Linked DNA regions of Mus musculus. The protein of the gene in region 2 purifies or fractionates together with the protein of the main gene of each other region. This does not show direct contact. Links are inferred from orthologs where the notes say so. Each region holds a gene or a part of one and is shown on either strand. Other genes may lie near its edges.

Region 1 (11,161 bases), on a different chromosome or scaffold from region 2:
GGAGCTTTCCATCCAATGATCCACTGAGAAAATATCTGTCATCCTAAAAAGGTGGCAAGAAAATGCTTTTATTGTCACATCAGGGAAAATTTAGCTAATTAACACATCAAGTGATTAAAACCAATGTTCTACAAGGAAATCTTATTCGAAAAGTCTTTGTTGCTGTTATTTTCTTTTCATTTTGAAGGCTGCATACTAGGGAGTCAAGTCGTGGCCTCACACATGAAAGCAAGTGCTCTCAGTGAGATACATTTGCATGTAGCCACAACATTTTAGTCTTTCAGCTAGCATCATTTTGTGTACTAAAAATTACAACAATTACACATGCCATCTTTCATGTTAAAAAAAAAGACATTGAACTATTTCATCATATTTTCAAACTGCTTTTCTAAGATATGAATGTTAATATAATTGTTTTATTAAGCATCACATGAAATAATGTCTACAATAAATTAAGTTTAAGAAAATTTGGAGTGCAAAAACTTAAAAACAGGATTCTCAGTTGATCTGTATTTTGAATCTCTAAAAGGGAGATAGAGTGGGTGGCAACTTTCTAATTTCCTTCCTTATTAACTTTCCTTAATACCCTAAACTTTTTGGGGGTATGCTTTTGTTTCCATAGCATGTGTAACACAGGGATACAAGGCTAACACCAGTCACAATGTACTGAACCTGCTTTTTAGGAACTCTGATACTGAATTGCAGACCAAGAGCTCTATGTCTTGAGGAACTGCTCCCATGCTGGGCATACTGCAAAGTCAGCAGAGTTTCTTGATTGCCATAGTCTGGTTTACAGGAGGATTCTACCATGTAAATAAAAGTGCTCCAATATACAGACAGAACATTCATTGCTCATCCAACAGCAAAGAATGTCAACAGAGTCAAGGTTGAAAGATCCTCTGCAGAGTAAACTAGTCTTAACACTCAGCTGGGTTAACGTGATGATTTAGTCTTAACTAATTAAACTTAATTAAGTTAATTTTAATTAAATTTAATTAAATTAGTTTTAACACTCAGTTGGTAATGTGATGAATGCATAGTAGGGGATGGGGGGAGAACTCAGTTGGTAAAGTGTGAGGACTTGACTTTGGATCCCCAGCACCCACGTATATGATAATGGCACACATGTGTAACTTTAGTACTGTGGCAGAGATAGCAAGATCCCTAAAACAACCTGGCCAACCAGTCTAGCAAAATTGCTGAGCTTCAGGTTCAGTGAGAAACCTAGTCTCAAAAACTAAGGTGAGAGGGTACACATACATATTATAGCCACCACTCACATAAACACAAGGATTACATGTTAAAAATCAGGATACTTTCTTCATATAAGAAATTTTTCTCAATCAGTACTGAAGCCTTTTATTGATAATATATATTATGTGATGGACAATTTTGATGCTATGGTTTAGTAAATTATACTTAGCAACTATGAGAAAAGCTGAATAAGTGAAAAGTATTTTATTTTGGACTTCAGATTTTAAATTTTATTTAAATATCAGCTTGTGTCTCCAATCTACCTATCAATTTAAGTAATTCATTTTTTTTTTCGTTTGTTTACAACTTTGCTACTTTCTTTCCAGGTAACACTGCAGTAGAATCACATTATCTAGTAAATGTTGACATGGCTCTCTCCTTCCCTAGTCCCCGTAAAAACCTCCTCACACCAGTGGAGGTTTTTGAACTATAGTTTTAGGTTTTCAAAGAAAATTATAAAAAATAATTGACTGGAGAGAGACCTCAATAATATACTATATAGAAGACTATTACAAGCTAGTGTTTCCTTTCTCTACTGCTACTTCAGTAGGTGGAGAGATTTCCGTCAGTTAGTGCTATGACTAAGGTCCATCCGTCTTTATCTTTAACGGAAAGGATAAACACCCTATTTAGAAAGAACAGTTTACTAGCTTGATGGTCAAAACTAATAAGGTACAAACACAGATTATACATTTTTAATTATTAAGTCTTCTTAAGTCTTTTAAGAGCTTAGAATTATTACTACCTATATTATATAGGCTTGACAAGGGACTGTCACAATATTGAGGGGGAAAAGTTAGACATTTCTCCTAATTTGACGGAAGAAAAAAAGGAATGCATAAATGACTGAATGTTGCACTAAAAAAGATAATGGGTATTAAACACACAGGGATGGACAATCTGACTGAAAAGGTAGTCACTCATCAGACTATGAGAGAGAAAGTCAATTTAGACCCAGCTCAAGTCCTCCACTTATTTTAATCTGGCAGTAATGGTGGCATCAATGAATATTTTTCCTTGTGCATCCATTTGCAGAAAAACAAAACTAATTGAGATTTAAACATTTATGACTCTATACCATAAAGGCATAAGACATCTATAATATCATGTATTTTCACCTTTTGATGAAATAAAATTAATTGCTGTTTTTTTTTATTTGCTTCAAGACCAAGTTTCATTATATAGTCCATATTACTCTGAAACTTACAATGGAAACCAGTCAGGCCTCATATTCTTAATCATGCTGCCTCAACCTAATGATTACTGGAATTCCAAGCAAGTACTCTCAAACCCAGTGAAGTACTTTGTTTGGAAGGGTAGATATGGCAGGATTGAAGAATGAATAAAAAGGATCAACAGTGTGAGTTAGGATCAGCAACACATGTATGCTGCCTTAACTACTCAAAGGGCTGAGGCCTTGAGATGAGCACTTGAAACCAAGATTTTGATGTGAGCCAGAGCAAGAGTCCTGATCTCAAAGAAAATAAACAAACAATAAGATTAAGGTTACTAAGAAGCTGGGGAGATGGCTTGTTTGGGTAAAATGCTTGCTACCAAAGCAGGAGGACCTGAGTTCTGACCCCCAGGACCTATATAAATACTGGGTGTGGCAGCTCAAATCTGTAACCAAGTGCTGGGTCAGTGGACAAAACAAGGGGATTTTGGAGAGCTCGCTGGCTAGCAAGTCTAGCCTGAAGAGTGACGTCCAGGTTCAGTGAGCAAGACTCACAAAAAATAAGGTAGAAAGCTTAGAGATGTGGCAGCAGTTAGGACCACTGGCAGCTCTATCAGAGGACAAAGATTTAATTATCAGCATGCACATCATGGATCACTAGCATCTATAACCCCAGATCCAAAGGACCTGACACACTCTCTGGCTTTAGATGTTATCAGGCACACATATGGTAAACAGATATACATGCAAAATTCCCATATACATAAAATTATAAAACTTTCATTGGTTATTAAAAATAAGCTAGAGTATGATAGAGGAAGATAACCCAATGTTGATTATAGCTTCCACAAGTAAAAACATGGCAAATACACCTCCATGTGCATATATATGCATACAACCAAACATACATACACATATGCACAAAATAATCATACTAACAAAGTATGATTAATATCGGGATATCATATAGTGAAATTTGGTTGTTACTCATTTCAGTCTTTTGGACTCTCCTTCCTCAACCTTTCCTTTCCCCAGTTCTCACCTATGTATGCACCTTTACTCTCTTACACCTACCACTTCCTCCTTTTAGAGACCATGTCTTGCCTTGCAGTCCAGCCTATCCTCAAACTAGTGAGCCTTCTGACTTAGTTTCAAGAGAGCTGAGATTATAGGCATGCAGTACCATATTTAGCTGCTATTTTCCTCTCTCCAATATTTCTTACCTTTAGTAGTATGATTTATTTATATTTCATGTGTTATTAAGGATTTGAGATAACTTTTTACTACATTTAGAGCATAATCCCCCACATGTAATGCAAATTATGAGAATATTTCTTGTTCAATCACTGAATGGTTGATTGACAGGGTCTTCTATACCCTATACTGGCCTCAAACTCATTTTGTTGTCAAGAGTGATCTTAAACTTCTGATCCTTTAATTACTACCTTCCTAGAACCGTGAATACAGCCATATGTTACCAAAACCAGTTTTTGTAACGCTTACAATTGAACCCAAGACTTCCTTTTTGTTAAGTAATTATTCTCCTAAGCTATACTCTCAGCCCCTTTTCCCATATTTTGAAACAGGCTTTCTCAAGGTAGTTCTGGATCTTTTAAACTTCCTATATTGACTAGGCTGGCTTCAAACTCAGAGAGCCAAATGCCTCAGCCTCCTCAGTGCAGAGAATAAATGCTTGTGCTACAACATCCAGTCCCTTTTCCCATTTTTAAAGAAAAATGGAATACTAATTTAAGTTGTTCTTAATTATGTGGCTACTAATGTTCTTTTTTTATTCTATAGTTTCAACTGTTCTTCATAGAAATCAAGTTCCTTCATCTCCCTTTTAGCATAACAAAGAGTGGATAACTGATTACTTACTCTTGGATGGAAAGCGATGGCAGTGACAAAATCTATATGTTGAAAACAGCAAAGGCATTCTCTTCTAGAAATGTGCCATAACCTGACTGTTTTATCCATAGAAGAAGAGAGCAGAAAGTAGTTCTATGGAAAAAATGATATCAGTTACTTTATTACTGTATATATGAAAACATATAGATGGAACAACAATATGAACAAACCAGTACCCCCCCTCCCCCGGAGCTCTTGTCTCTAGCTGCATATGTAGCAGAAGATGGCCCAGTCAGCCATCAGTGGAAAGAGAGGCCCCTTGGTCTTGCAAACTTTATATGCCTCAGTACAGGGGAACACCAGGGCCAAGAAGTGGGAGTGGGTGGATAGGGGAGTATGGGGGAGGGTATGGGGGACTTTTGGGATAGCATCGGAAATGTAAATGAAGAAAATACCTAATAAAAATAAAAATAATAATAAAAAAGAAAACATGACTCACACAATAAAATTGAACTAGGCTTAAAATTATTTTTGCAGTTTTCAGCTTTATATATGTTATTGTGATATGAAGTCTCAAAAAGAACATGGCTATTTCAATTCATTTGAAACAATAATTTTTTCAAATTATTGTCTTATGTATTTCACTGACTCTGAGACATTTTAGCATTACTTGCTGCATACTATGAATCTTAAAATGTATGACAGAAAATGTCAGGCACTAGCAGAGGATTAAGGAGTATCTTAGGTGTATAACCTGTACATATTTAAGCTTAACCATGAATATATGATATTAACTTGATCATTTAAGTTTAGTTATTTTTTACAGTTAAAACACTGATGAATTCTATGGATCCTAATATCTTCTAAAAGATTACTCTGTAATACAGCATAGAAATAAAAAGTTATTGTGCTCCTGTCAGATTCTAGGCAAGAAAGTTAGAGAATAGGAAATATCAAATTTCTCAGAATACATCACAGAGCTTTCTGAGCTAGAAGAGTTAGCATAACTGATTTAGGCATTGTATTTGCTCAATTATCCTGAAACCAAACATCTACCCATCAAAAGCTTCTGGTTAGCAAAGTCTCAATAACTTCTAAACCTCAAATATTTAAAGGGAGAACTATATATTACATGGAATGAGGAAAGTCAAAGGGACTCTAGAATTTTTTTCTAAATATGACAAACAAATCAAGGTTGTAATAACACTTATTGAGTATATACAATTTGCTAAAGGTTTTGTTCTTAGCACTATACACAATTCTGTGAAGTAAACATACTATTATCTTCCTTTTTGACAAATGATAATATTGAGGCTCAGAACATTTAAATAAGTGATCTAAGATTACACAACCTGTCAGTGGTAGAGCTCGGGTTCAAGAGCAGGTGGTCTGACTCTAGGCTAGAACCATGTTTTGCATAGTACAGAAAAGCACTAAAATGCTTTGTCATGTGCACAAACTAATTAAGAACACTTAATCATTATCTGTGTGGCAGCTCATAGCTGTAATCTTTGGGATGTGGAGGCAGGAGAATCAGGAGTTCAAAGACATCCTTAGCTACATAGTAAGTTTTAGGATACCCTGTCTACAAGAGACTCTATTTGCAAAATCATAAAATAAGCCAAAAAGACTTATTGCAAATACTGATTTAGCTATGTAACTATATGAGCTATTTTACAAAACACACTTAAAATACCTATTTTTTAAACACATATTATACCTTATTATTAAAATATAGAGTTTTGGAGCCACACATGGTACCTAATAATTTTAATCTTATCATCTGTGATGCAAAGGCTATAACATTGTAAGGTTGAGACCATTGTGTTACAAGTTTTGATTCTGTTTTGTAAAAGAAATAATAATCTGGTTGTTAGGGTTAATAGATCAGTGGTAGAAAACTTGTAAGGCTCTAGGTTTGACTGCCAATATCCGGAAATAAAGAGGAGAAAAAGAGGGACAGAATTTGGAAGCATTTTAATAGACACTGAGAGGAATATAATCATTATTTTTCAGAGATTACCCTGTTCCAGAAAAGTTTTAATGAGCATATAAAGTTTATACCATAATTTTCCGTTGATTAATGGCATTAAACCTATGGCCCAATGCTCTTTAATACTGCCCTTCTTTAGAGCTGAGGTGTATAGCTCAGTAGCAGAGGTAGCACTCAAATAAGTCAACTAACCAACCAAAGAAGCTCAATAAAATAAAATTTGGCTTTATTCAGTGCTTGCTTCAAGCATATGAAATATATGAATATATTCTTTTTATTATTAGATATTTTCCTCATTTACATTTCAAATGCTATCGCGAAAGTCGCCTATATTCTCCCCCTGCCCTGCTGCCCACCCCACCCACTCCCGCTTCCTGGCCCTGGCATTCCCTTGTACTGGGGCATATGATGATTATATTCTTAAAGTATAAAGTGCTAAACACATGTTCAATTCTATTTTACTATGCCAAGAGTTTTTGTTTAATACATTCTTACTAAATGAAATTAATTTCTTTAATTTTTTTATGTGAATGGGTGTTTTGTCTGCATATATGTCTGTGTATGAAAAGCATATGTGGTGCCTATAGAGGTCAGAAGAGGGTGCTGGATCCCCTGGAATTATAACATATATTTGTGAGGCATCATGTGGGTGCTAGGAATTGAATCTAGGTCCTTGGGAAGAGCACCAGTGTTATTAACTGCTGAGTCATTTCTCCAGTCCTGAAATAATTTCTTAATCTAAGCATTGAACTTTCGAGTCACATAAAGTATATTCAAACTGAAGTTCTGAATATAACTAGTTTTATAATCCTTAGATGGATCATGGAAGTCAGAGCTCTCATCTGTACAATGAAAGAACCATTACTAAATGAAACTTTTACTGTATGATGTAATACTGTGTTAGGTGCCTAAAACAAGTACTTAGAAAGTTGAAAGCTCACTACAAACAGATTCTGATGGACACTGAAGAGAAATAACAGTAAAATAAGTCTTGATCCCTATCCTATCCTTCAGTGGTTTACAATCTTCTTGAATCTATGATCTACAAATCTTTGGTGGCTTGACTAATAATGGAACCTATAGGTTCAAATATTTGAATTCCTGGTCCAGAATTGGTGAAATTGTTTGGGAAGGATTAGGAGGTGTGGCTTTGTTGAAAAAGCTATGTCACTGAGGAGAGGAGGATCAGGTTTCAAAAGCTCATGCCATTCCCAGTTCTCCTCTCTATTCCTGCCTGCTGCCATGATAATCATGGACTCATTCTCTGAAACTATAAGCAAGACCACAATTAAATGCTTTATTTTTTAACTTTCCTTGGTTATAGTGTTTCTTCACAACAACAGGAAAGTAATTAATACAGTAGAAGTTAGGATTTTCCCAGAAAAAAGCACACCAATAACAATAGTTATTCAATAACAAGTAGTACGCACAGAAAGCATAGCATACAAGTAAAATTATATTGAGCTGACTGTATTTATGTATTTAAGGAGAGCATATGGCGCGCGTACACACGCACACACACGCACACAAACACACATACACATATTAATGTGAATAACATCCACAAAAAATTTCAAAGCATTATACTCTTTTTTTTTTATCTTTTTATGACTAGTATGCATAATATAAAGAATCAGGAAGTCCCAGCTTACAAACTATCACCAATTATAAGGCAAATAGACTGATACTAAATATACTTTTGTGACTTACAAAATTTGTAAAGAATGCAGGAAAGGAAGAATTTATGATTTCTTAAATCTTTGCAATGTATTCAGCATTGTGAAATTTTATGTGCTAGCTCTTATAGGGTGATGAACTATTATTATGACATGGGGATTGGATAGAGAATACTGGTCTGAAGACATGAGACTGTAAATTGTCCTTCCCACTCCTTAGCTAGATGCAAGTCAGCATGTTCCTTAATGCATATAAATCTTCTTTTTCAAATCCTTGATGAATATTAGGAACTTCACATGTTTTGACTGAACAACTGAACACAAAGAACACATGTAAAATACTTAAACTTGCTGTCCTCAGTACCTGCCACATTCATAGATCATGTTTTTAATTCTTTATTTTTAACTGTGTATGTGTGTGTGTGTGTGTGTGTGTGTGTGTGTGTGTGTGAGAGAGTGAGTGTAGGAGAAAAGAGGTACCCCTTTGGAGCTAAAGTCATAGGCAACTGTAAACTGTCCTATGCAGATGTTGGAAACTAGCCCTACTCACAGATAATGTTAGTTGAACATTTAATGTGTGATAAGTAGATGTGTTTTAAAAAGAATTTATTTTATGTGTAGGAGTATTTTGCTGGTATGAATGTATGAGCACTGCATGCCTACCTGGTACCCATGGAGGCAAGAAGAGCCTGTTGAATCCCCTGAATCTGTAAGAACAAGTGGTTGTGAGCCACCATGTGGTGATGGGAATGCAGGTCCTCTGCAAAAGCAGCAAATGCTCTTAACTGCTGAGGCATCTCTCTAGCCCTAGGTAAGTGCTTTGTACTCACGCAGTCTTTCCTTCTAACTCTACAAAGAAACTACTTTTGTTATGGCTATTTTGCAGGTTAGGTATGGTATAGTTAAGAAAGATGGCCAAAGGTTCCTCAGAAAATTGGACATAGTACTACCGGAAGATCCAGCAATACCACTCCTGGGCATATACCCAGAAGATGCTCCAACATGTAATAAGGACACATGGTCCACTATGTTCATAGCAGCCTTATTTATAATAGCCAGAACTGGAAAGAACCCAGATGTCCCTCAACAGAGGAATGAATACAGAAAATGTGGTACATTTACACAATGAAGTACTACATAGCTATTAAAAACGACTTCATGAAATTCATAGACAAATGGTTGGAACTAGAAAATATCATCCTGAGTGAGGTAACCCAGTCACAAAAGAACACACATGGTATGTACTCAGTGATAAGTGGATACTAGCATGGAAGCTTGGAATACCCAAAATACAATTCGGAAAACACAAAAAACTCAAGAAGAAGGAAGACCAAAGTGACTACTTCGGTCCTTCTTAGAAGGGGGAACAAAATACCCATGGACAGAGTTACAAACACAAAGTGTGAATCAGAGACTGGAGGAATGACCATGACTGCCCCACCTGGGGATTCATCCCATATACAACCACCAAACTTTTTTGGATGCTAACAAGAGCTTACTGACAGAAACCTGATATAGTGGTCTCCTGAGAGGCTCTTCCAGTGCCTGACACATACAGAAGTGGATGCTCACAGCCATCCATTGGACTGAGGGCAGGGTCCCCAATGAAGGAGCTAGAGAAAGTACCCAAGGATCTGAAGGTTTTGCAGGCCCATAGGAGGAACAACAATATGAACTAACCAGTACCCCCCAGAGCTCCCTGGAACTAAACCACTAATCAAAGAAAACACATGGTGGGACTCATAGCTCTAGCTGCATATGTAGCAGAGGATGGCCTAGTCAGTCATCATCAATGGGAGGAAAGGCCCTTGGTCCTGTGAAGGTTCTATACCCCAGTATAAGGGAATGCCAGGGCCAGGAAGTGGGAGTAGGTAGGTTGGGGAGTGGGGGTGGGGGCAGGGGATGGAATATTTTGGAGGGGAAATTAGGAAAGGAGATAACATTTGAAATGTAAATAAAGAAAATATCTAATAATAATAATAAAAAGGAAGGTGGCCAAAGATCCCAGAAACTTTAAGGAGCAAAGGAGATAGAATATGAATCCTAGGTATCTGAACCCAGAGTTGTGCTCTTAGCTAGGTGGATAAGTAAACAACAGATATGTTTTGGGTGAATATGGAATACAAACTACCTAGAAGGCAGATGTGTATAGGGTCTCACTTTATTATTTTATTTTAATTAAAATAAAATTACATCACTTCCCCTGTTACTTTCCTCTCTCCAAATCCTCCCATGTTCTTTCCCTCCAACCCTTCCATGTCCTGTCTTACTCTCTAGAGTTGATGGTCTCATTTCATTGACTATTTTTTATCACACACACACACACACACACACACACACCCTCCTGAGTCTGTTTAGTTTTGCACTAAAATGAAATTAGTTAAGAGAAATAAGTTCTAATATTCCACAGTACAGGATGGAATCTGTAATTTAAAGTACTAGAAAAGAGGAGTCTGAAGGTTCCAAATACAAAATGGTAAATCTCCAAGGAGGTAGATGTCAATTACCTGATTTTTTTATCATTTCATATTATATATGCATGTAGAATTATCATGGTAGACTTCATTAATATGTATAATTGTCATGTGTCAACTAAAACATAAAAACTGTTAGACATAGAACTCTTTATTTATATGTAAAAAGGTTCTTGGGCCTGGGAGATGGCTCAGAGGGCAAAGGTAATTGCTCTTTAGCCTGACTGCTTGAGTACAATCACTGGGACATACATGGTAAGAGAGAACTGAATTCCACTTTTGCTCTGCTGGCTTCCATATATAGACATTGGCACGTGTTCCTACAGACTGTGTTTAACACAGAAAGAAAGAAAGAAAGAAAGAAAGAGAGAGAGAGAGAGAGAGAGAGAGAGAGAGAGAGAGAGAGAGAGGAGGGAAGAGAGAGGTAACTTTAAAATTTCAAAACTACAACTTCACAGTTTTTCGAAAAAAGGGTCTCTTTTCCTGATTGTGTTCATGCATGTGCTTATACACATGTCTGTATGTGTATGTGGAAGTCAGAGGACAACCCTAGGTGCTGTTCCTCAAGTGCTAATTATTTTATTAGACTAAAACTTTTACTGGTCTAGAACTTTCTGAGCACGCTTGGTTGGCTTACCAGAGTCTCATGGGTCTACGTGTCTCTTTCTATCCAATGCAGGCATTATAAATGTATGCCATTCCACCTAGCTTTTTTTCTTTTTATGTTAGTTTTTTGGCATCA
Region 2 (11,161 bases):
TTTTGAGACAGGGTCTTGTTATATGGTCCGGGCACATACAGTCCACCAAGTACCAGGATTAACAGATGTGTGTGTACCACCAAACTGGCTTTAAAGAACCAGTGTGTTACCTTAATTAAAATTATCTCAGCCATAGAATTAAGAGTTTAGTCTTCAATTTAGAAATTTACCTCGAATTTACTAATTACATGGAGAAATCTGGCTAAAAGCACCTGAACTAAAGTTCAAAGTTAGAAGTACCAGTGGCTAAGACAAACACATCATGAGCCTCTTGTATGATGAGTTGAACCACCTTTATGGCATTCAGGCCACAAGCTATACACCTGCATTTAATCACAAGGAAACACTGGATAAAACTCAATCTGAGAAATGACAGCTGACCTAGATCTCTTAAAAATACTAAGGATGATGAAAAAGGAAAAATTAAAGGAACTATTGTCAAGCAGTGACAAGACAGCTAAATAGCACATATGCTATGATTCCAGGCTTTTTCCTTCTTATTATTAATTGAAATTACTGGCAAAATCTGAGTAAGATTTGTAGCTAAAGACTGATGTGCTATTATTATACTATTGATTTAAATCACTGTGTTATGGTTATAAAAGAGAAAGTACTTGTTTCTAGTAAATAAGCAACAACAACAACAAAAGACTTAGGGATAAGGGTAGTATGCAGAGTACTTACTTGCATTTGCATATAGTGTGTGTGTGTGACACTGTGTGTGTGTGTGTGTGTGTGTGTGTGTGTGTGTCTTTGTTGGGAAGGGAAAGGTAAATGGACAGAAAAAAGACACTAATACTTAAGGAAATGGGGTGTTAAGGTTCTCACAAATTCTTTATATTATTACTGTAAGATTTAATCAACTCTGAAATTGCCAAAATACAAAGTTAAAATGAAAAGAGGCATGGAAAACAGTGATTAAAAACATCTCTTAGGGATGAAACTCAGCTGGGATAGAGCTTGCCTGACATGCTCAAGACATAGTCAGTGGCTGGAGAGATGGCTCAGTGGTTAAGAGCACCAACTACTCTTCCAGAGGTCCTGAGTTCAATTCCCAGCAACAACACGGTGGCTCACAATCATCTGTAATAGGGTCTGACACCCTCTTCTGGTGTGTCTGAAGACAGCAATGGTGGTGTACTCATGCATAAAATAAATCTTTAAAAAAAAAAGATTAAGAAAAGACAGAGTTGGATCCCTAACAGTTTGCCCCTCCCCGACACAACTCCTGGTGAACTTGAGATGGAAAAAACAAAGCTGCACTGGAAGGCAGGACTGAAGCAACCCATCAGCCCACCTTGCTACTAGTGAACTACTTTTAAAAGCACCACCAGACAAATCAGACTACTCAGATATGAACAAAGTGTGGATCTACTGCACAATATTTCCAATAATCTTACATTTTAGCTCCATGAACAAAGGAAGCTGCCACCAGGCCTGATGACCTGAGTACTTGCCCCATGACCCACATGCTAAAAGGCGCTGTCCTTTGGCTACCACACTATAAATACTATAACCCCATACCTTATATAAATGAATAAAAAAATGTGATTTTAAAAAGATTAAAAATTAGGCCAGGTATAGTAGCACATGCTTTTCTTCTCAGCACTCCCAAAGCAGGGGCAGGTGGGTCCCTGAATGCTCAAGCCTGGCCTACCCTACACAGTGGAAAACAAAAAGAAAGTAGGACTTGTAGGCATACTGTATATTCAACAAAATATTGCAAGCTTAAAACTATCTGCAGCGAGATCACTCAGAAAAAATCTTTTAAAAAAGCTGCCAGTGCCACAAGCTGTCTATTCCCCTCCAGCCGTAGTGACTATTCTTCAGTTAACAAAAACAATTTTATGCTGACAATGGTGGTGCATGCCTTTAATCTCAGCATTCCAGAGGCAGAGGCAGATAGATCTCTGAGTTCCAGGCCAGCCTGGTCTACAGAGCAAGTTACAGGACAGCCAGGAATACACAGAAAAACCCTATCTCAAAACAAAACAAAACAAAACAAAACAAAGCTAACGTGTATTGGCTGGTTTTGTGTGCCAACTTAACACAAGCTAGAATAATCAAAGGAAGGAGCCTCAGTTGAGAAAAATGCCTCTATGAGATCCATCTGTAAGGCATTTTCTCAATTAGTGATCAATGGGGGAAGGCCCAGCCTATTGTGGGTGGTGCCATCCCTGGGCTGGTGGTCCTGGGTTCTATAACTTAGCAGGCTAAGTAAGCTAAGTGAAGCAAGCCAGCAAGCAGAAGCCCTCCTCAGCTCCTGGCTCTAGGTTCCAACCCCCGAGTTCCTGCCCTGACTTCCTCCAATGATGGACTATGATCTGGAAGTGTACGCTAAATAAAACTTTTCCTCTCCAACTTGCTTTTTGGCCGCAATGTTACATTGCAGCAATAGAAACCCCAACTAAGACACAAATCAAACAAAAAAAAAAAAGTTTTTAATAAAGTACATGCAAATCACCAATATTTATATTATTTTTAAAAATTGGTTTTTTTCTATGTATTTTAACATGTTGTTTTTCCTTAATTACTACTTAAATACTGATTTATCAAATGTTTGCTATGTCCCAGGAAGAGCTAAGCCCTTGACAGGCATTAACTCATATATTTTTGGGAACTACTAAAGTATCAGTGACAGAGCACTCTTTTCTGTGGAATAAAGATAAAACAAACAAAACAACAACAAAGCCCCTAACTAGCAATAACAAATTAAATCATGCCGTATCAAACCATACTCCTGTAATTTAAAAGTACAAGTTCTTTCACGAAGAAAACAGTAACTAACCAAAATGTATGAGAAACTCTGTTTATTTTATATTATGTGTATATCTATGTGTTTGTTCTCATGTATATGTAGATGCCAGAAGAGGGTGTTAGATCCCCTGGAGCTGGAGCTACAGGTGGTTATAAGCAGTCTGGCATAAGTACTGGGAATCAAACTCCAGTCCTCTAGAAAAATATGTACTCCCAACTGCTGAGCCATTTCTCCAACCCAACATATATCCAAATTTTACAGATGAAGAAATTAAAGCCTTTGAAAGAGTAAGTAACTTGCTCAAGATTATAGCTCCAAAAATAAGTGGAAGAATCAGGCTTTCCACTTCATGATCTAAATCCCTAGGCTTATTACACACACTTTTCTTTTAAACAATAAAAGAATACTTTAAGAGTTAAAATTCTGGTCATCTCTAATATAAGTGCTACATACAGCATTAAAACTTATTACATTACAATAGGAAACTAAACAATTCTATATAACAATTTATCAGAACACCACATAAGACTCTACTTTGTGTTGATTAGATTCTAATTCATAAGTTCTTAAAAGTAACACATAATTTAGGTCTATTGAAAAACAATCTATGAAAGTGCTTCTTAATAGATTAAATGTACTTATAATTTGGTTATTCTAATAAAACCAAAGTAAATATGAGTCTGAAGAAATAAAATGTCTTCTTTTTCAAGAAGCTGACCTGGTTACTCACATTCCAAAACAGCATGAACTTTGTCGGTTCCTTGTACTCATTTAACCCTTTCCATATGCAGGCTGGGCTGACTGTCTTTGCAAGGAGCACACTCCTGTTAACTCAGAACAACTATCTGTGCTTTCTTCTTTTCACTTAAAACTTTTGATGTAATTTCCCTAGGCTTTTCAAATTTCTTTTTTTAAGATTTTTTTGTGTGTGCATGTGTGTCTGTCACATGTGTACTGGTACCAGCGTTGGGATCCTCTGAAGCTAGAGCTATAGGCAGTTGTGAGCCACCCCGCATGGGTGCTGGGAACAAAACTCGGGTGCTTGGGAAGAACGGAAGGTACCCTTAAATGCCAAGCCACCTCTCCAGCCAATTTCTAACTTCAAAAGGCATTTATATCTTTCTATAGTCAGGATCTCAGTATTTACGTAATGAAAGTGCATTTTAAAAAGAGAAGAACATACATAAGAACATGTAACTGTCCCTTTGACTATGAGGTATAGACTACATTGCCTGAACACAAGGAAATGAACAAATTACTTTCAAAGAATTTTTCCCCAGATGAATTCACATGACTGAAGTGCAACCTGCAAAAACTGTAACTCTACACATCAAGGAATTTATACTACAGTTGCTCTCTAATGATAGTCATTTTCAGGTGGCATAACAATTTCCTAATTAGTTTAACTCACTTCCTAAAACTCCAGTTCCCATTGGTGTAACCGAAAACACAGGTCTCACCTGTTAGAATTGTCTGAAAAGCAGCTTCAACATTTGTAGAATCTAGAGCAGATGTCTCAATGAATGACAAACCATTCTTCTCTGTAAAAAGAAACAAAATTTTCAGTCTGGTAAATTTTGATTGCTGTTTAATAGTGTTGGTGATTGGTGATCTAATCCAGGGCCTCCCCAATGCCAGCCAAGCCCTCTACCACAGACCTACCTCCCCAACTTTCCATAAGGTGTTTTTTGGTGGTAGTTGTTGGTTTTTTGGCTTTTCAAGACAGGATTTCTTTGTGTAGCCTTGGCTGTCCTAAAACTCCTTTGTATATTAGACTGGCCTGGAATTTACAGAAATCTGCCTGCCTCTGCCTCCAGAGGGCTGGTATTAAAGGCATGCACCACCACTGCCCGGCTTTCTCCAAGTTTTAAAACAGAAGATGTGATAAGCTTACAATCACAAAAGGGAAGATAAAAGACTAAGACTTAGTTCAGCATGGCCAAGAATTCAAGACCAGCCTGAGACTATTCTTCAGATAGTCATGAGACTATCTGAAAGATACATGAGAAAGTATTTCAAACTACCAAACAAAAACCTCTAAATGGTACCAACTTCTGGCGTAATATATAGACAATATTTTACTTTTACTTCAGTAAGTTAAAAGTAACAGTAAGAAATTTTCGCTCCCTTGTAATTACTTCTGCATATAAATACCACCAATAACAATGAGTGAGACTATTCAGAATTTAGTTAACTTATCAAACGTCCCACTATTTCCACCCCTAACCATCCTCCCTAGCAACTATATAGCTAAAAACACACTCACTTAGAAGTCTATTCAATTTGAAAATTTTAAGTTAGAGGAAAATACTCACAATCCTTTCACTAATACAACATCATGACTTCTTAGCAGATGCAGCGCTGCTTTCTTCTGGTAGTTTCCCCTACCAGAAGGGCAGCTAGAAATAAGCAGATCCTATATGAAGCGCAAAGTGCTCAACTTCTAAGCATCCTTGTCAGTCTTCGACACTCCTTGACATACTACTTTTCAGACTCACATAGAACATTGCTAAAGAAGAGAGGTGTAATGTTCAAACAGAAATGCAGAAGCACTGTAATACTGTGGAGTTTATATCACTAACCTGCAAAAGCTCTTGCTTCATCTGTAGGAACTGCCCTGAGATGACGTAAATCACTCTTATTGCCCACAAGCATGATAACAATGTTACTATCAGCATGATCTCTCAGTTCTTTCAGCCATCGCTCTACATTTTCATATGTGAGATGCTTAGCAATGTCATAAACCAATAAGGCACCTACTGCTCCACGATAGTATCTGCAACAGAAACATATAACTATCAGAAGACAATCAAAAAGTAGAAATGAATACCAGAAAGAACACAAAAGGTGATGGTATAGGGCTAGAGAGATGGCTCTGTGGCGGAAACACTTGCCATCCAGCATGAAGATCTGCTTGGGTGTTAAAAATCCCCAGAATCCATGAAAAAGCTGACATGGTAGCACTCAGCAATCCTGGTCCTCCTACTGTGATATAAGGGAGTTGGGGGCTGAAACAGGAGAATCCCAGACGTTCTCAGGCCAGGTATCCTGGCATAAACAGCACTGAACAACAAATACTGCCTATCTCAAACAAGGTAGGACCTCACAAGTGTGAGGACCAACATCCAAGGTTGTCTGTCCTCTGACCTCTATCTACACAGCAAGAATACACAGACATACACACTAACACAAACACCCTCTACATTCTCTCATATGCTCATCCTCAGGGACACACACAAACACACACACAAAGAGATTTTTAAAAACAATAATACAAACTTGTAAATAAATTTCTGAAAATTCCTAGTTATCACATGAGGGGTGGTGCCACATAACTGTCCTGGGTGCTGGAGGTCTGAGGCCTGCCTGGGCTACATAATGAGTACCATGCTACAAAGTGAGACCAGGTACGTACACACACACACACACACACACACACACACACACACACACCAGATATGGCAGATAGTAGTCATCCCTTATATGAGGTTTTATACCTAGTCATCCACAGGCCAAAAATATTAAATGGGAAATAATAATAAATAATTCATAAGCTTTAAATTGCCACCATTTTAAGTATCATGACAAACTCCTCAGTTTTCCCCTTCATCCAGGCCAGCACATGATTCATTCTTTTGTCCAATGTACCCACACACTATATAAACTACCTGCCTGTTAAAGTCACTTTGTAGCTCTGCCATTATTTATGGTCTTTTCTGTGTTCAAGTAACCCTTAGTTTATTTAATAATAGCCCCCCAAAGCAATTATGACATGACAAAGAAAAAAGGGTCTATTAAGAGAAAAGATACAAGATGCTGGAAAGATGGCTCAGCAGTTGAGAGTACTTGCTGCTGCTGTAGAGGACCCAGGTTTGTTTTCTAGCATCTACACAGTGGTTCACAACCATTTGTAACTATACTTTCAATGGATCGGATACCATCTTCTTACCTCCATGTGTACTAAGCATGAACATGGTACACATACACATATACAGGCAAAACATGAATAAAAATAAGATGAATTTTAAGAGAGAGAAACAGAGGGTTTAGTACAATCTGTGGTTGTAGGCATTGAAGGAAGGTCTTGGAACATCTTGCAAGGTTAAGGGAGGACTACCGTTTCTTCCCAGTACCTAAACTCAGCAATTCACTTGATACCAACCTATTCCAGAACTGAAAACCATGAACTTACGCAGACGTTATAGCCCTGTACCGCTCCTGCCCTGCTGTGTCCCATATCTGTGCCTTTATTGTTTTCCCATCAACCTGGATGCTTCTTGTTGCAAACTCTACTCCAATGGTACTCTTGCTTTCCAGATTAAACTCATTTCGAGTAAATCGAGACAGGAGGTTACTCTTTCCAACACCAGAATCTCCAATAAGGACAACTAAAAAGACAAAAAATAAATAAATAGTATAAGCTGGATGAAGGCACACACATTCAAAATACCAGCATACTTAACAGGAGGATGTTTGGCTTCAAAATAAATACAACCAAGGATTTTTAAAGAGACAGAAGCATAGTACTGAATAGTTTACATCCATGACTAATCAATTTAAACCAATCACTTACTCTTAGTAATCTATTTCTGTCTGCATAATGACTTTCGCACATCATCTACTTAGCACAGATCAGATATAGCACCCCATCTAAAAAACATCCCCCTCTTTTATTCCTATTTAGGAACTCACACCCAGTGCCCTACTCATGTAAGGTAGCTAAACAACTGACAACTGAGCTATATCCCCAGCCCTTAAAAATGCAATTTTGCAATTTTAATCATAGAATACTGTAGTCATCAATTCAAACACCAATTACCTTTAACTTATACCAACCTCACTACCTTAGAAAGCATTCTGAAAAGTAAATATCGACTTGTGATTTTCATGTGTTAGACATCAAACAAAAGATGTCAGCGCATGGAGTAGGAAAGTGTGTGTGTTCTACTACTGTCATGAAAGACTGGGGGTGATAGAGAGCTGAAACACATTTAAAACAGGAGGCACGAGGCTTACAAGCTTTGCTGCTCTGCTCATAGAAACTACAATCATCTTTAATAGTTACAGTTCAGACTGGCAGAAAGCACGAGGGCGCCCAACCTTACTACAAACAGGAGCCCTAGGAAGTTAACAATTCTGACACACTGAGTCAAAGCCAAAGCAAGGAAGACAAACACTTTGACTTAGGACTTTAAAAAGTTTTTTTTTTTTTTCAAAACAAATTTTGATTATACCTGCTTCCTGTGGTTTTTATAAAAGATGGCAGTTTATTTACAAGTAACTTCTCATCTCAAGTGTTACTCTACTTTGAAACTCTTCAAATAGAGCTGGTGAGATGACTTAGCAAATAAAGGCACTTGCCTCCAAACCTGAGGAACAGAGATCCATCTCTGGGACGCATACACTCCACTTGTGCACAGAACTCAGCTGAGGTTTGGTCTATTGCTATGTATTATAATACTAAATACTGGTCCTGGTTGCCCTTAGGGATGAGGTGTAGACCCAAGCGATGCTATATAACCTTGCCACCCAAGTTATTCCTGATTGGTGAATAAAGATGCCCCAAGGCTTGGGGTCTGAGGAGAGACAATTAGGAGAGAGAACATGCCACGGGATAGGTGAGTCATGAAAACATGACCACAAGAGCTGACCAATTGGAGTTAAGAGCTGCCCAGGTGGAACATGACAAGTTTTAACTCAAGGTTATTGACAGGGAAGTAGATTTTAATAGCATAGAGGGTAGATATCTGACCAGCTCTAGTTCATTAAAGGCTTATTATAAATATAAAAATTTTGTGTCTTTTATCTGGGAATTAAATGATCTAAGGCAGGGTAGAAACCCACAACTGAGATTAAATATATACTACTACAGAGCTCACACAAGTGAATGAATATAATTTTCCATGTTTATAAACATGAGTACGAATGCTATGTATATGAGCCAGAAGAGAAGAGAGCTGGAGTTACAGACAGTAGTGAACAGCCAAATATAGGTGCTGGAAACTGAACTGGGTCCTCTCTAAGAGCAGCCAGTTCTTAACCACTAAGTCACCTCTCCAGTTCCAATCAATGCAATTAAGAAAATTTTTAAAAAGGGAGGGGGAATTTCATGGGCTGGAGAGATGGCTCAATGGTTATGAACACTGGTTATTCTTCTAAGGACCCAGGTTTGAGTCCTTGTACCCAGAGGTAGCTTTCAATACTTTAACTCCAGACAACAGTTTGTAATTCAGTTCCAGAATCTGATGTCCCTTTCTGGCCTCTGCCTGTACTACATACAAGTAGTTAACAGACATTACTGTAGACCAAATCACCCACACACATTAAAATTTTCAGAGTCAGCCATGGTGTACTTCTTTTAGAAGTGTACTTCATAGTGTACTTTTAGAAGGCAGAGGTTGGCAGATCTTTCAGGGTTCAAGGCCAATTTGGTCTACACAGAGTTCTAGGCCAATAAGAGCTACAAAGTGAGATCCAGTATCAAAACAGAACAACAACAAGAAACAGAGCCAGTGGCACACACCTTTAATCCTAGCTCTTGGGAGGCAGAGGCAGGTGGATCTCTGAGTTTGAGGCCAGTGTGGTCTACAGGAATGAGATCCAAGAGAAGTAGAGCTACACAGAGAAACACTGTCTCTCAAGGAGAGGGGATGGGGGTAAGTTGGTCGAGACAGGAAACTGAAAAACAAGTTGTTTGTTTTAAGGGAGGGTCTCAATTTGGAACCCAGGTTGGTCTAGAACGCACAAAACTCTCTTACTTCAGCTTCCTGAATGCTAAGATTATAGGTGTGTGTCATTGTGCCCAACTTCAGATAAGTTGGGTTAAAACATAAATTTAAAGATCAAAATGGGGTTGGAGGTTTACAGAATCTAAGCCAGCTAACATTTTTTTCCCTGCATAAATTTTTGTAGGTATTTTAGTGAACACTGTATTTATTTCTACTGTTGACTAGTAATACTTTTTATGTAGCTAATTGATTTAGGCATCAGACTAGAAAAATCAACAGCAGGGTTAAGGTCACAGACTAATAAGCCATGTTTTACTCAAAAGATTGGGATTTGATGGTGCACGCAGAAAGGAGGCTGACTGCACTCCAGCCAAAGGAAAAGAGAGTACACCTTTCTTGTTACAGAAGTACACACAGCTCGCCCTAGAACAACCATGCATTATCAAATGCATATCTTTCTGGCTTCCTGTATCAGCTGATTCAGCAAGAAATCCCAGCAGCAGTGACTCCATGTAACAAAGAAGATAATTCTGTCTTTGTAGTCAGAGAGTACACTAGCAAACAGACATTAAATACTTTTACTGGATACCAGGGAAAATGATGTCAAGGTCATGAAAACAGATTAGTAGGCTGGTTTCCAAACTCCACTACTGTAGATGTGAAGTTGAATCCCAGCAACATTAATAGCGCCTCCTTATTGAGATACATTCACTGTTCATTCTTAGTATAGGAGGTTAAATGGTCAGATCACAACTCCTGGGTGGGAACAGGGAGAGGGTCCCAGCCAAGAACCTAGTCTGGGCTTCTCCCAAAACTTCCTTCACCTTTCCTGAATAGAAATCCTCAGTCACAACAAGAATACAGAAACTTAGGCCTGAAAGACGGTTCACTGGTAGAGGCAATTACTGCCAAACTTAAAGACCTGAGTTCAATCCCATGGACCCACACAGTAGAAAGAAAATCCATCCCTTCAATTGTCTTAGACTTCTATCCATAAACACCATGGCATGAGCCCCCCACCTCCCAAAAAAGAAAAAAAAAAACCTTAAATAAATAAATATGATTTGGAGAGGAAGAAGACTGGATAATCTGCTGAGGAAATCTCCTTTCAATCACTTCTGGTCACACACTAGCATCAGCAATCACTTGAGGTATGAAACAGTGCAGAAAGAAAAAACTAAAGATTAGAACATCTAATTAATTCACAGACACTCCAGTTTCAAATAGTAATTCAGAACCACTCACAATCTAAAGTAAAAAAGCAAAGGTGAGCATGGCACCTGGGTAACAGCATCCTGTGGTGGGGACACCTTCAAAGAGCAGGGTACACTCCCACAGATGCTACAGCACTAAGTCACACTCTGTTCTGTTTTTAAAAAATTAGCCATTCTTATATTTTGGAGTTTTGTTTTTTATTTTACTTTATGTGTGTGAATGCTTTGTCTACATGCATATATGTACATAACATTCATGCCTGCTATGTCACCTGGAACTGGGGTGAGGTTCTCTCTGCAAGAGTAACAAGTGCTCTTAATTGCTGAGCCATCTCTGAAGTTCTCTGGCTTATGCCTTGACCTCTACTTTTAACTAATGACTAAATTTACCATCTCATCAAGGTCAAATTCTTATACTAAGTGAAGAACCCCCCCACACACATACCCATGTAACCAATTAA

Evidence for each region. Proteins that work in one complex are often made in the same cells at the same time.
Region 1: the proteins of Rab11a (region 2) and Wdr44 purify together in Homo sapiens (affinity purification with mass spectrometry; 3 studies listed by BioGRID and IntAct, counting the BioPlex papers as one, with this or other methods). This does not show direct contact. The link is inferred for Mus musculus from reciprocal best matches to the Homo sapiens genes RAB11A and WDR44.

Annotation. Positions count from the first base shown.
Region 1 is NC_000086.7:23,789,252-23,800,412, reverse strand, and holds part of Wdr44 (WD repeat-containing protein 44), read right to left. Parts: intron 4,430-11,161; coding exon 4,307-4,429; intron 44-4,306; coding exon 1-43. UniProt on the Homo sapiens protein: Downstream effector for Rab11 which regulates Rab11 intracellular membrane trafficking functions such as endocytic recycling, intracellular ciliogenesis and protein export.
Region 2 is NC_000075.6:64,721,284-64,732,444, forward strand, and holds part of Rab11a (ras-related protein Rab-11A), read right to left. Parts: intron 7,147-11,161; coding exon 6,951-7,146; intron 5,535-6,950; coding exon 5,341-5,534; intron 4,300-5,340; coding exon 4,219-4,299; intron 1-4,218. UniProt on the Homo sapiens protein: The small GTPases Rab are key regulators of intracellular membrane trafficking, from the formation of transport vesicles to their fusion with membranes.